2 linked regions of the Stegostoma tigrinum genome follow. The protein of the gene in region 1 interacts with the protein of each later gene in a biochemical or structural test. Links are inferred from orthologs where the notes say so. Each region holds a gene or a part of one and is shown in the gene's direction. Other genes may lie near its edges.

Region 1 (5,084 bases):
TGAGAGGATGTATGCCCTTGTGAGAGAGTCTAGGACCAGACAGCATAGTCTCAGAATGAAGGGGTGCCAATTTAAGACTGAGATTAGGAGGAATTTATTCTCTCAAGATGGTCCTGATTCTTTGGAATTCCTTGCCACAAAGAGCTGTGGGAACAGAGTCCATGTATATATTTAACGTTGAGATTGATCAATTCTTGATCAGAAGGGGCATCTAGGCTGTAGGGAAAGTGCAGGAAAGTGGATGTGAGGAATGGGGTTGGATCAGCCATGATCCTACCGAATGGTGGAGCTGGCTCAAGCGCTGAATAGTCTTACTCCTATTCCTATTTCTTATTGTCTGTTGTTATTGTATGTAGCAGCCAAATGAAAGGTAAACAGTGGGCTAATGAGAAAATAAATTGAATGATATTAATTGGATAATGCATATATGATACAGTGAATGGCCTTCCACAGTGTAGGGTTAAAAATCAGATTAAAGTGTAGTAATTCTAGTAGCAGGAATATCAGTTAGGAAAGGTCCAAGTTAGGGTTTATGGAGGCAGTGTCAATTACCTCCCCACATGTAAAGTATAAATTGGTGAAATGGAGTTCATTTCAACTCCCCCTTTTTATTACGAAGTGTTTCAATGTGAAAATAACTGGCAGCACAGAGTTTTGCTTTCAACAAGATAAATGGTTCGTTTATTCAATAATTTTCAGCAATGGTTATACTTACTTAAAGGAATAAACTAAAATCCACATAGAAGGATTTATGTAAGTAAGGATATAAGTTGGTAATGAAGATCAAAGAGAGATCATTCTCTACTGTTGCAGCAGGCCAAGCTTGCTCGAAAATTCTCCTTGTTTCGATCCCTTTTGAAAAGATTATACTACTGAATTTAGCTCCATGTTCTGAAGTAGTCACATTTCAAGAATACTTGTTATATTGTCATTCTCTACTGCAGTAGTTTGCAACCTATTGAGTAACATGGCACTCTAAAAGTGAGGCAAACAGTTCCATGCGCACCCACTTTTTTATGTCATCTCAATTTTTCCCTTGAGCCGTATGCATTCAGAATATTCACATTTTAGAATAAAAATCCTGATCCTGCACTTTTAATTCGTTGATTAATTTTAATGAGTTTTGAGATGTAATTTTGATTAAGAATATTGTTTGAGATGAAACATTGTTTAATAATGTACATCGGTAATGAAAATCAAAATTTTATGCTCAATTTATACAGGTCCTCATGGCATATTGGTTGAAAACATAGAACATAGAATATCGCAGCGTAGTATAGGCCCTTTGGCCCTCGATGTTGCATCTATCGCAGGTGAAACCAAACTGAAGCCCAGCTAACCTACACTATTCCATTATCATCCATATGTTCATCCACTGACCATTTAAATGCCCTCAAAATTGGTGAGTCTACTACTGTTGCCCTTACTACTCTAAGTAAAGAACCTACCTCTGACTTCTGTCCTATATCTATCACGCCTCAATTTAAAGTTATGTCCCCTCATGCTAACCATCACCATCCGAGGAAAAAGGCTCTCACTGTCCACCCTATCTAATCCTCTGATCATCTTGTATGTCTCTATTAAGTCACCTCTTAACCTTCTTCTGTCTAACAAAAACAATTCAGATTTATATTCTTTCATGTTCCCCATCTTTTCCCCTTTTTGTCCTCAATTCCTGCACAAGCATGCTTCCTTCTGTGACCATTACTCAGTCGTCAGATCCATCTGATAGGCAGTATTGCCACCCAACCTAGCGTGCCCAGTTTAAATAATTTTAAATAACCTAGTCAAAATTGATGGCTTCTGAGCTCTGGAATCCTTGGAGCAGCTTTCAGAGAAACAATTCCTACTGCACTGCAAGGGGAATGAATCCCGGTGCAGCACGAGGAGAACGGGTCCTCGTGCAGCATGAGGGGAATGAGTCCTGTTGCAGCGCTAGGGGAATGGGTCCCAGTGGAGCGCGAGGGGATCAAGTCCCGGTACAGCGGGAGATTAATGAGTCCTGGTACAGCGGGAGATTAACAAATCCTGGCACGACGGGAGATGAACGAGTCCTGGTACAGCGCGAGGGGAGCCGGTCTTGGTGCGACATGAGAGGAACAAGTCCTGGTACAGCAGGAGATGACCAAGTCCTGGTACAGCGGAAGATGAAGAAGTCCTGGTACAGCAGGAGATGAACGAGTTCCGGTACAGCGCAAGGGGAATGGGTCCTGATACAAGACGGGGGGAACGATTCCGGTCCAGCGTGAGGGGAATGGGTCCTGGTGCAACGTGAGGGCAACGGGTCTTGGTGCGACATGAGGGGAACAAGTCTTGGTGCAGCGTGAGGGGAATGGGTCCTGGTGCAGCGTGAGGGGAACAAGTCCTGGTGCAGCATGAGGGGAATGGGTCTTGGTGCGACATGAGGAGAACAAGTCCTGGTACAGCGGAAGATGAAGAAGTCCTGGTACAGCAGGAGATGAACGAGTTCTGGTACAGCGCAAGGGGAATGGGTCCTGATACAAGACGGGGGGAACGATTCCGGTCCAGCGTGAGGGGAATGGGTCCTGGTGTAGCGTGAGGTGAATGGGTCCTGGTGCAACGTGAGGGCAACGGGTCTTGGTGCGACATGAGGGGAACAAGTCTTGGTGCAGCGTGAGGGGAACGAGTCCTGGCACAGCACAATTTATCTTGGCGCAGTTGTGTGCCGGTGCAGAGAGGACTGGAAACTTGGAGCAGAGCGGGATAATTATTGGACAGGCGCTTAGCACATACAGTCAGACCACAATGCTGAGTTACTGCTATTTGAATTTTTTTTACCTGACTGTAATGTGAGTTCTTTAACTATGTTATAATGATCTGATTCCTAACCTATTTTGTCAGACACTGTATGTAATGCTACAACTATTCCTTTTATTCTTGTTCCGTATGAAATTTTTACCTCAGTGCTTGTACCGAGGATGGCGCCTTTAGTGGCAGCCATTGTAAAAACTTCTGTGTACTCTTGTACTTCCAAGACGCTTGACAATAAAAGGATATTCAATTCTATTCTGTATTCTACAAAGCTGTGACCAGAAGATGGCATTCTTCTAATGCAGCTCAGGTAACCATGCAAGTCAATGCCTGACCGGAGAATACAATATCAGCAAGAGTCACCGTGGAATACTTGCAAGCACTTGAATCATCTCTACTTTTAATTTATTATACTCCAAAAGCAAAATACTTAAAACCTGCATGCCTGCTTTCTGACTGAAGTAAAATTAGATTGTGGTAGAAATTCTGCTTTTTATAGTGGCTAAACAAAACCCGACAGCCAAGAGGAGTTTTCTTATCAGTCTTAAATTGGATCTTCTGAAACAAAAAGATAAACCCAACCATCTTAACTATCTCTCTCTAGACAACAGTTTCTGCTGACCTTTTGTAACAAAAGAAGAAGTGGATGTATCCACCTTTTTCACTGTTTTTATTCCTTTCCTACAGGGGAGTCATTAAAACTCACATCGCAAAATGCAGCCTAACTGTTTCAGACAGAAGTGCAACTTGACTTGTTTGCGTAAATATTCCGTAACTCCAATGCAATACCCGTGATGTCCATTATGTGTACACTAATTTACTATAGCAATTTAAAGTTGTCTACCTGGTCACCAAGGTTCTAATGTTTCACTGATCTATTATATAAATATATGTGTATATGTAGCATAATAAAATGTGAGGCTGGATGAACACAGCAGGCCAAGCAGCATCTCAGGAGCACAAAAGCTGACGTTTCGGGCCTAGACCCTTCATCAGAGAGGGGGATGGGGTGAGGGTTCTGGAATAAATAGGGAGGGGGGGAGGCGGACCGAAGATGGAGAGTAAAGAAGATACGTGGAGAGAGTATAGGTGGAGATGTAGGGAGGGGATAGGTCAGTCCAGGGAAGACGGACAGGTCAAGGAGGTGGGATGAGGTTAGTAGGTAGATGGGGGTGCGGCTTGGGGTGGGAGGAAGGGATGGGTGAAAGGAAGAACAGGTTAGGGAGGCAGAGACAGGTTGGACTGGTTTTGGGATGCAGTGGGTGGAGGGGAAGAGCTGGGCTGGTTGTGTGGTGCAGTGGGGGGAGGGGACGAACTGGGCTGGTTTAGGGATGCGGTGGGGCAAGGGGAGATTTTGAAACTGGTGAAGTCCACATTGATACCATTAGGCTGCAGGGGTTCCCAGGCGGAATATGAGTTGCTGTTCCTGCAACCTTCGGGTGGCATCATTGTGGCACTGCAGGAGGCCCATGATGGACATGTCATCTAAAGAATGGGAGGGGGAGTTGAAATGGTTTGCTACGGGGAGTTGCAGTTGTGTGTTGCGAACTGAGCGGAGGTGTTCCGCAAAGCGGTCCCCAAGCCTCCGCTTGGTTTCCCCAATGTAGAGGAAGCCACACCGAGTACAGTGGATGCAGTATACCACATTGGCAGATGTGCAGGTGAACCTCTGCTTAATGTGGAATGTCATCTTGGGGCCTGGGATAGGGGTGAGGGAGGAGGTGTGGGGGCAAGTGTAGCATTTCCTGCGGTTGCAGGGGAAGGTGCCGGGTGTGGTGGGGTTGGAGGGTAGTGTGGAGCAAACAAGGGAGTCACAGAGAGAGTGGTCTCTCCGGAAAGCAGACAGGGGTGGGAATGGAAAAATGTCTTGGGTGGTGGGGTCGGATTGTAGATGGCGGAAGTGTCGGAGGATGATGCGTTGTATCTGGAGGTTGGTGGGGTGGTGTGTGAGAATGAGGGGGATCCTCTTAGGGCGGTTGTGGCGGTGGCGGGGTGTGAGGGATGTTTTGCTGGAAATACGGGAGACGCAGTCAAGGGCGTTCTCGATCACTGTGGGGGGAAAGTTGCGGTCCTTGAAGAACTTGGACATCTGGGATGTGCGGGAGTGGAATTAAAAGATTTCCAGCATATTATTTTCAAGATTTTCAGTATTTTGCTTTTGCATTTGCAAAGTGTCTCTAATGTAGTAAAACAATCGAAGGTGACCTTTAGGGAAGACATTCTGGAGATTAGGGACTGAGCTGCAGAAGGCATTGTTGTCTAAAACAATGATTCTGAAAGAATTAATGTTGAAGTTACATACATTCTGCCCC
Region 2 (5,084 bases), on another chromosome or scaffold:
CACCTATTATTTCTTTTCCAATCTTCAAATATCATTGAGTTATCTTAGATACTATTGACCTTATGACAACTTTGAGAGGTCACACTTCCAGAAATCTTTATGAACTAAACAATGCAGTCAAATATTTAATAAGATGCTCAACTGCAGCAAGATCCAGCTTATTGTCTTTCAGATCCTGTGTTTTACATATTTGTGTCAAATGTAGAATTATCCATTTTTTTTTCTTCAAATGTGTTCCAGTTGTAAACTGATCTTCAGAGTCCACTCAGATGGATAGGGATGTAATGTTAAAAACAAGCCTTGGGCTAGCCAATTAATTTTACATTACTGAGGCTCAGTCTTTCTTTCATTGTGGATTATTTGCATTTGTCGATGCTTATCTCTTTACAGAAACAATCCAGTTGATTTTTTTTAAGCCCATTTATGAAGTGCTTTAACATTTTAGGTTACAATTTGAATCCAAGCTGAATCTGAATTAGTACCCACCCTCAAGCATGGGTATAACTCTGATGTTTTACAGTTACAATATTGAAAGCGCAATGTAAAGTTGTCGCTTACCAATGCTGCAGTTGTAGCATAAATACCTTCTGATTACAATTCAATTTGATTCCCAGCTTGGAGCAAGAGCACTTTACTGAGTTGCATTAATGTAAATGCAGTGTCCAAAATGAGGAATAACTCTCAACAAAAAAGTGTATTCTCAATCAATACTTTCGAAAGGGAGCAGAATGGAGCAGTAATAAGTAATAGTCACATTTTGTGGATTAATAAGGGAAGCTGTTGTTTTGAGGCCATGAACACTTGTAAAATGAAAGAAGTGAAAGTTATTAGTTTCAGTGGTTTCCGTATATTAGAGCTAAACAGTTTTCTTTGAGTGGTTTTCTGAGTCTGTAGAAAGGCCGGTTGTCTCGTTGATTCTCACAGCAGATTAAACAAATTGGAAAGAGTTGGTGACTGGTGTTGATGGTGTACCCAGTACACACACACTAGATTTGTGCCAAATGAAAATTTCAAATGCCAGTGTTTTCTCCAGCTCTTCATGAGATGTTTTGACCAAGCACAGTTTTCTGACCGATCGTATTCTGTGAGCATTTAATTTTGTGTTAAGATGATTTAGTAATAGTCAATTGACATTGCAACCAACTGTTCTCCTCTTAATCTGTTTTATTTTGAAATCATTTTTAATCATGAGTAGCTGTTGAGAGAACGTGTGAAGTAAAGCTGAGAGTCTTGGTAGTTAAAGGGTTACTTTAAAAACAATTGTTTTGTCTACAACAGTAGACTAAAAGTATCCAGATATATATTCATATTTCCATCCCAGTTTTACCACTGGTAGATGTCAAGTGTTCCTGCTTTCTGTGCCCTATTGCTGTTGGGATGCACAATGTTATGATGATGGGTGGGAGTATGTCAATGAGACTGTGTAGTACCATCTGCTGGGAGAGCTGTGACTCATTGCAGTACTAGGGAACCAGCAGGCACTGCTTTTTCAGTGTCCATTGATTTATTACGGAGACTGACTTGGAATATGGCTTGTTACACAGAGATGTCAGGCATTGTAGAGGTATGTGGTTTTTTCCTTCTCCCAGTGCTAGCTGCCTCTAGGTCACTTGGTAAACAAGGGCATTAACACTTCCTTTTGACCAGGTAATCTTCCCGATAAACCTTTTGGACTGTTTATCTATACTGTTAGAGATTAATTATATGCCATGGAGCTGTAGCTATTCAAAAATCTAACTTGTAAAATAGCAGATATAAAGATTGTGAGTAATGCAGATAATTTTTCAGTTTTCAGCTTAAAAGTTGCAGTTATGACTTGATTAATGTAACATGAGGGTTTGAACTGTGTGTGCTTCTTTATGGTAAATTCAGAAAGCATAGAATATCCACACTTCAGTGTCAGTGCAGTCATCAGCTTGCACTTCATACGCTACTTACATATTGATCGGCTATTGTAATGGAATCTGCAACACTTAACATCCAGGAGCCCTATTTGGTGTTAGATTTGCACAGACACTACACCGTTGTTACCTTTTTACTGACTGACATTGCTAAAAAACATGCCAGTGTGAACTTTGAATGAAAACAGGATCAATCTGTCATACAAACCCTTCTAATGGATGAGTGGTCTGCTAACATCCCTTGTCATTTAGGTGATGTGATGAAAGGTGATCATTGCTGAGGAACATTGTTCAAGTTGATGCCTGTGGGAGAGTTTTAGAAGAAACTAGAAAACATTTTTAGTAAGTATGTGAACTGTCACAGTGGTGTTGAGTTTACCTCCAAGAGGGAATTGCGCCTGATGCAGCAATGTTTATGTTGGCTTCAGTGATATAAGCATTCGACATGGGTTAAATACTACTGGAAGATTCAAGAAATGTTTATTCATAATATAGATGTTATAGACAAAAATTGGTATGTAGGCTAATAATAACTATTTAGTTACAAAGATTAATGTGTGCTCTGCAATGAAGCAGTGATAATATTGCAGGCATATCTCTGGAAGATGCAATGTTTAATAACTGTGATACGAGCACAGCAATATTCTCCTGAGGATGGTACTTAACGTGGATAATTTGAGATGCACCTCTTCTGTCTATAAAGTGTTTTTTTTTGCACTGATTGATCTGTAGGGATTTGAGTGTAAATCTGTAATGGGCTGTCTGAGATATGGAAAGTGAATTTAGAATGTTTCATTGGTATTCTTCTGAGCCGCTGAGAGAAGTATAGTGTTGGAAAGCAAACCCAGATTTCAATTCCCCTGTCTGTTTGTCAGTACTGAGAATCACAAGATGGAGTGCTACAATTTTCCCAGTTCTGACTTCTGATCAGAAAGCTAATGTATTTCTGTGCCTACTCTGAGTGTTTCCTTAATAAATGAAGACAGGCTTCTGTCTCACTGCACATAGACTGGGGTCTGAATTATACATGAGGGATTGAATTGAATGTAGGTGACGTATGTCCAGCCCATTTGTACAATCTGATGGGAAAATTGTGCCACTTCTGCAGGGGCCCCATGTGCAATTTAAGCATAATCGGGCAGTTAAGTGGGCAGCATTGGTTATTCTGCAGATCATACCTTCATAAGGGCAGATACCCCAGCCTGAGTGCTGCCAGACAATCAAAGGCCAGTAGCCACTGACTGTGATGCTTTGCATCCTTCTCCAAGGGCTTTTGCTGGGTTCCTGGAGATGGGAGTGGGTGAAATCATAGACCATAGGGAAGGGCACTGGATGTGTAAGCACAGGGTGGGTGGCCCTCAGCTGGACTCCCCCACTTCCCTACACTGGCTCCCTCAATGCTTTCTAAATAAAAATCAGAAAATTGGTAAAATAGGCCTTTTGAGCCTAGACAACCGTTCAACAAGTTCTTGGCTGATCTTACATCTTAACACCTTAGTCCCATTCCCTCTTCATACCCCTTTAGCCTCCAGAAATTTTATCAACTACTTTCTTAATCATATTCAGTGACTTGTCCTGCATAGTTTTGTGGTACAAAGTTCCACGGGCTCACCACACCCTGCACAAATTCCTTCTCGTCTCAATCCAAAATAGTCTACTTTGTATCCTGAGATCGTGACTTGTTCTGGATCTCTAACCAAGAGAGAGATAATCCCTACACCCAGTCTGTCCAACCAAATTGGAATTTTTCATGTTGAATGAAATCTTCCCTAATTCTTCTAAACCTCAGTGAATTACAGGCCCAGATGACACAACCTTTCTTCTTGCAACAAACCTGCTCATCCAGGCAGTAGTCTGGTGATCCTTTTGCCGCACACCTCCCTGTGGTAATTATATTATTTTTTTTCTGTGAGACAACCAAAGATGAATGTAGTAATCCAAATGTGGACTCACCAAGGCCTTGGATAGGTGCAGGAAGATTGCCTTGCTCCTGTACTCAAATTCTTTTGCAAAGAAGACCAAGGTACCATTTCCCTTCCTAACTGCTGGCTGCATCTGTAAGCTGGCTTTCAATGGCCAATGCTCAAGGACACCCAAGCCCCTTTGTACATCGACACTACTCAATCTATCACCATTTAATTAATTTTTTGCTGTTTCCCACTCATGAATTTTATACTGTATCTGCCATGTGTTTGTCTACTGACTCAACTTGTCTAAATCACCCTGAAGTCTCTTTACATCCTCCTCACCATTCCCACTGCCACCTGCTTTTGTCATCCTTGGGATAGTGTCCTAGGCCCAACCATCTTCAGCTGCTTCAGCAATGACCTTCTCTCCATCATAAGGTCAGAAATGGGGATGTTTGTTGATGATTGTGCAATGTGCAACACCATTTGTGACTCCTTAGACTTTGAAGTAGCCCATGTCCAAATGCAACAAGATTGGGACAATAACCAGGCTTAGGCTGACAAGTGACATTCACACCATATAAATACGAAGCTATGACCACCACCAATAAGAGACAATCTAACTACAGCCCCTTGAAATTCAACGATGTTACCATCACTGAATCCCCTCCTATCAACATCCTCGGGGTTACCATTGACCAGAAACTCATTGGACTCACCACGTTAACGGAGTGGCTACTAGAGCAGGCCAGAAGCTGGGTTAACTGGGGCAAGTAACTCACCACCTGACTCCACAAAGCCTGTCCACCATCTACAAGGCACAAGTCAAGAGTGTGATGGAATACTCCCCACTTGCCTGGATGAGTGCAGTTCCAACTCAAGAAGCTTAACACCATTCACAATAAAGCAGCCTGTTTAATTGGCACTACATCCACAAGCATCCGTTCTGTCCACCGCCAAAGCTCAGTAGTAGCAGTGTGTACTATCTACAAGATGCACTGCAGACATTCACCAGAATCCCCTCTCAGCACTGCCCAAACCCACAACCACTTCTATCTAGAAGGACAAGGGCAGCAGATACATGGGAACACCACCAACCCAAGTTCCCCTCCAAGTCACTCACCATCCTGACTTGGAAATATGTTGCCATTCTTTCACTGTCTGTGTCAAAATCCTGGAACTCCTTCCCTAATGGCATTGTGGGTCAACTCACAGCAGGTGGACTGCAGTGGTTCAAGAAGGCTGCACACTACCACCTTCTCACGGGCAGCCAGGG

Evidence for each region.
Region 2: the proteins of E3 ubiquitin-protein ligase XIAP-like (region 1) and septin-5-like form a complex in vitro, tested with the Homo sapiens proteins (4 studies listed by BioGRID, with this or other methods). The link is inferred for Stegostoma tigrinum from reciprocal best matches to the Homo sapiens genes XIAP and SEPTIN4.

The regions. Positions count from the first base shown.
Region 1 is NC_081368.1:29,300,509-29,305,592, forward strand, and holds the start of E3 ubiquitin-protein ligase XIAP-like, read left to right. Parts: upstream 1-1,922; 5' UTR 1,923-2,187; intron 2,188-5,084.
Region 2 is NC_081380.1:14,006,421-14,011,504, reverse strand, and holds the start of septin-5-like, read left to right. Parts: upstream 1-1,513; 5' UTR 1,514-1,528; coding exon 1,529-1,564; intron 1,565-2,153; exon of another isoform or gene 2,154-2,243; intron 2,244-5,084. UniProt on the Homo sapiens protein: Filament-forming cytoskeletal GTPase. Pro-apoptotic protein involved in LGR5-positive intestinal stem cell and Paneth cell expansion in the intestines, via its interaction with XIAP. May also play a role in the regulation of cell fate in the intestine.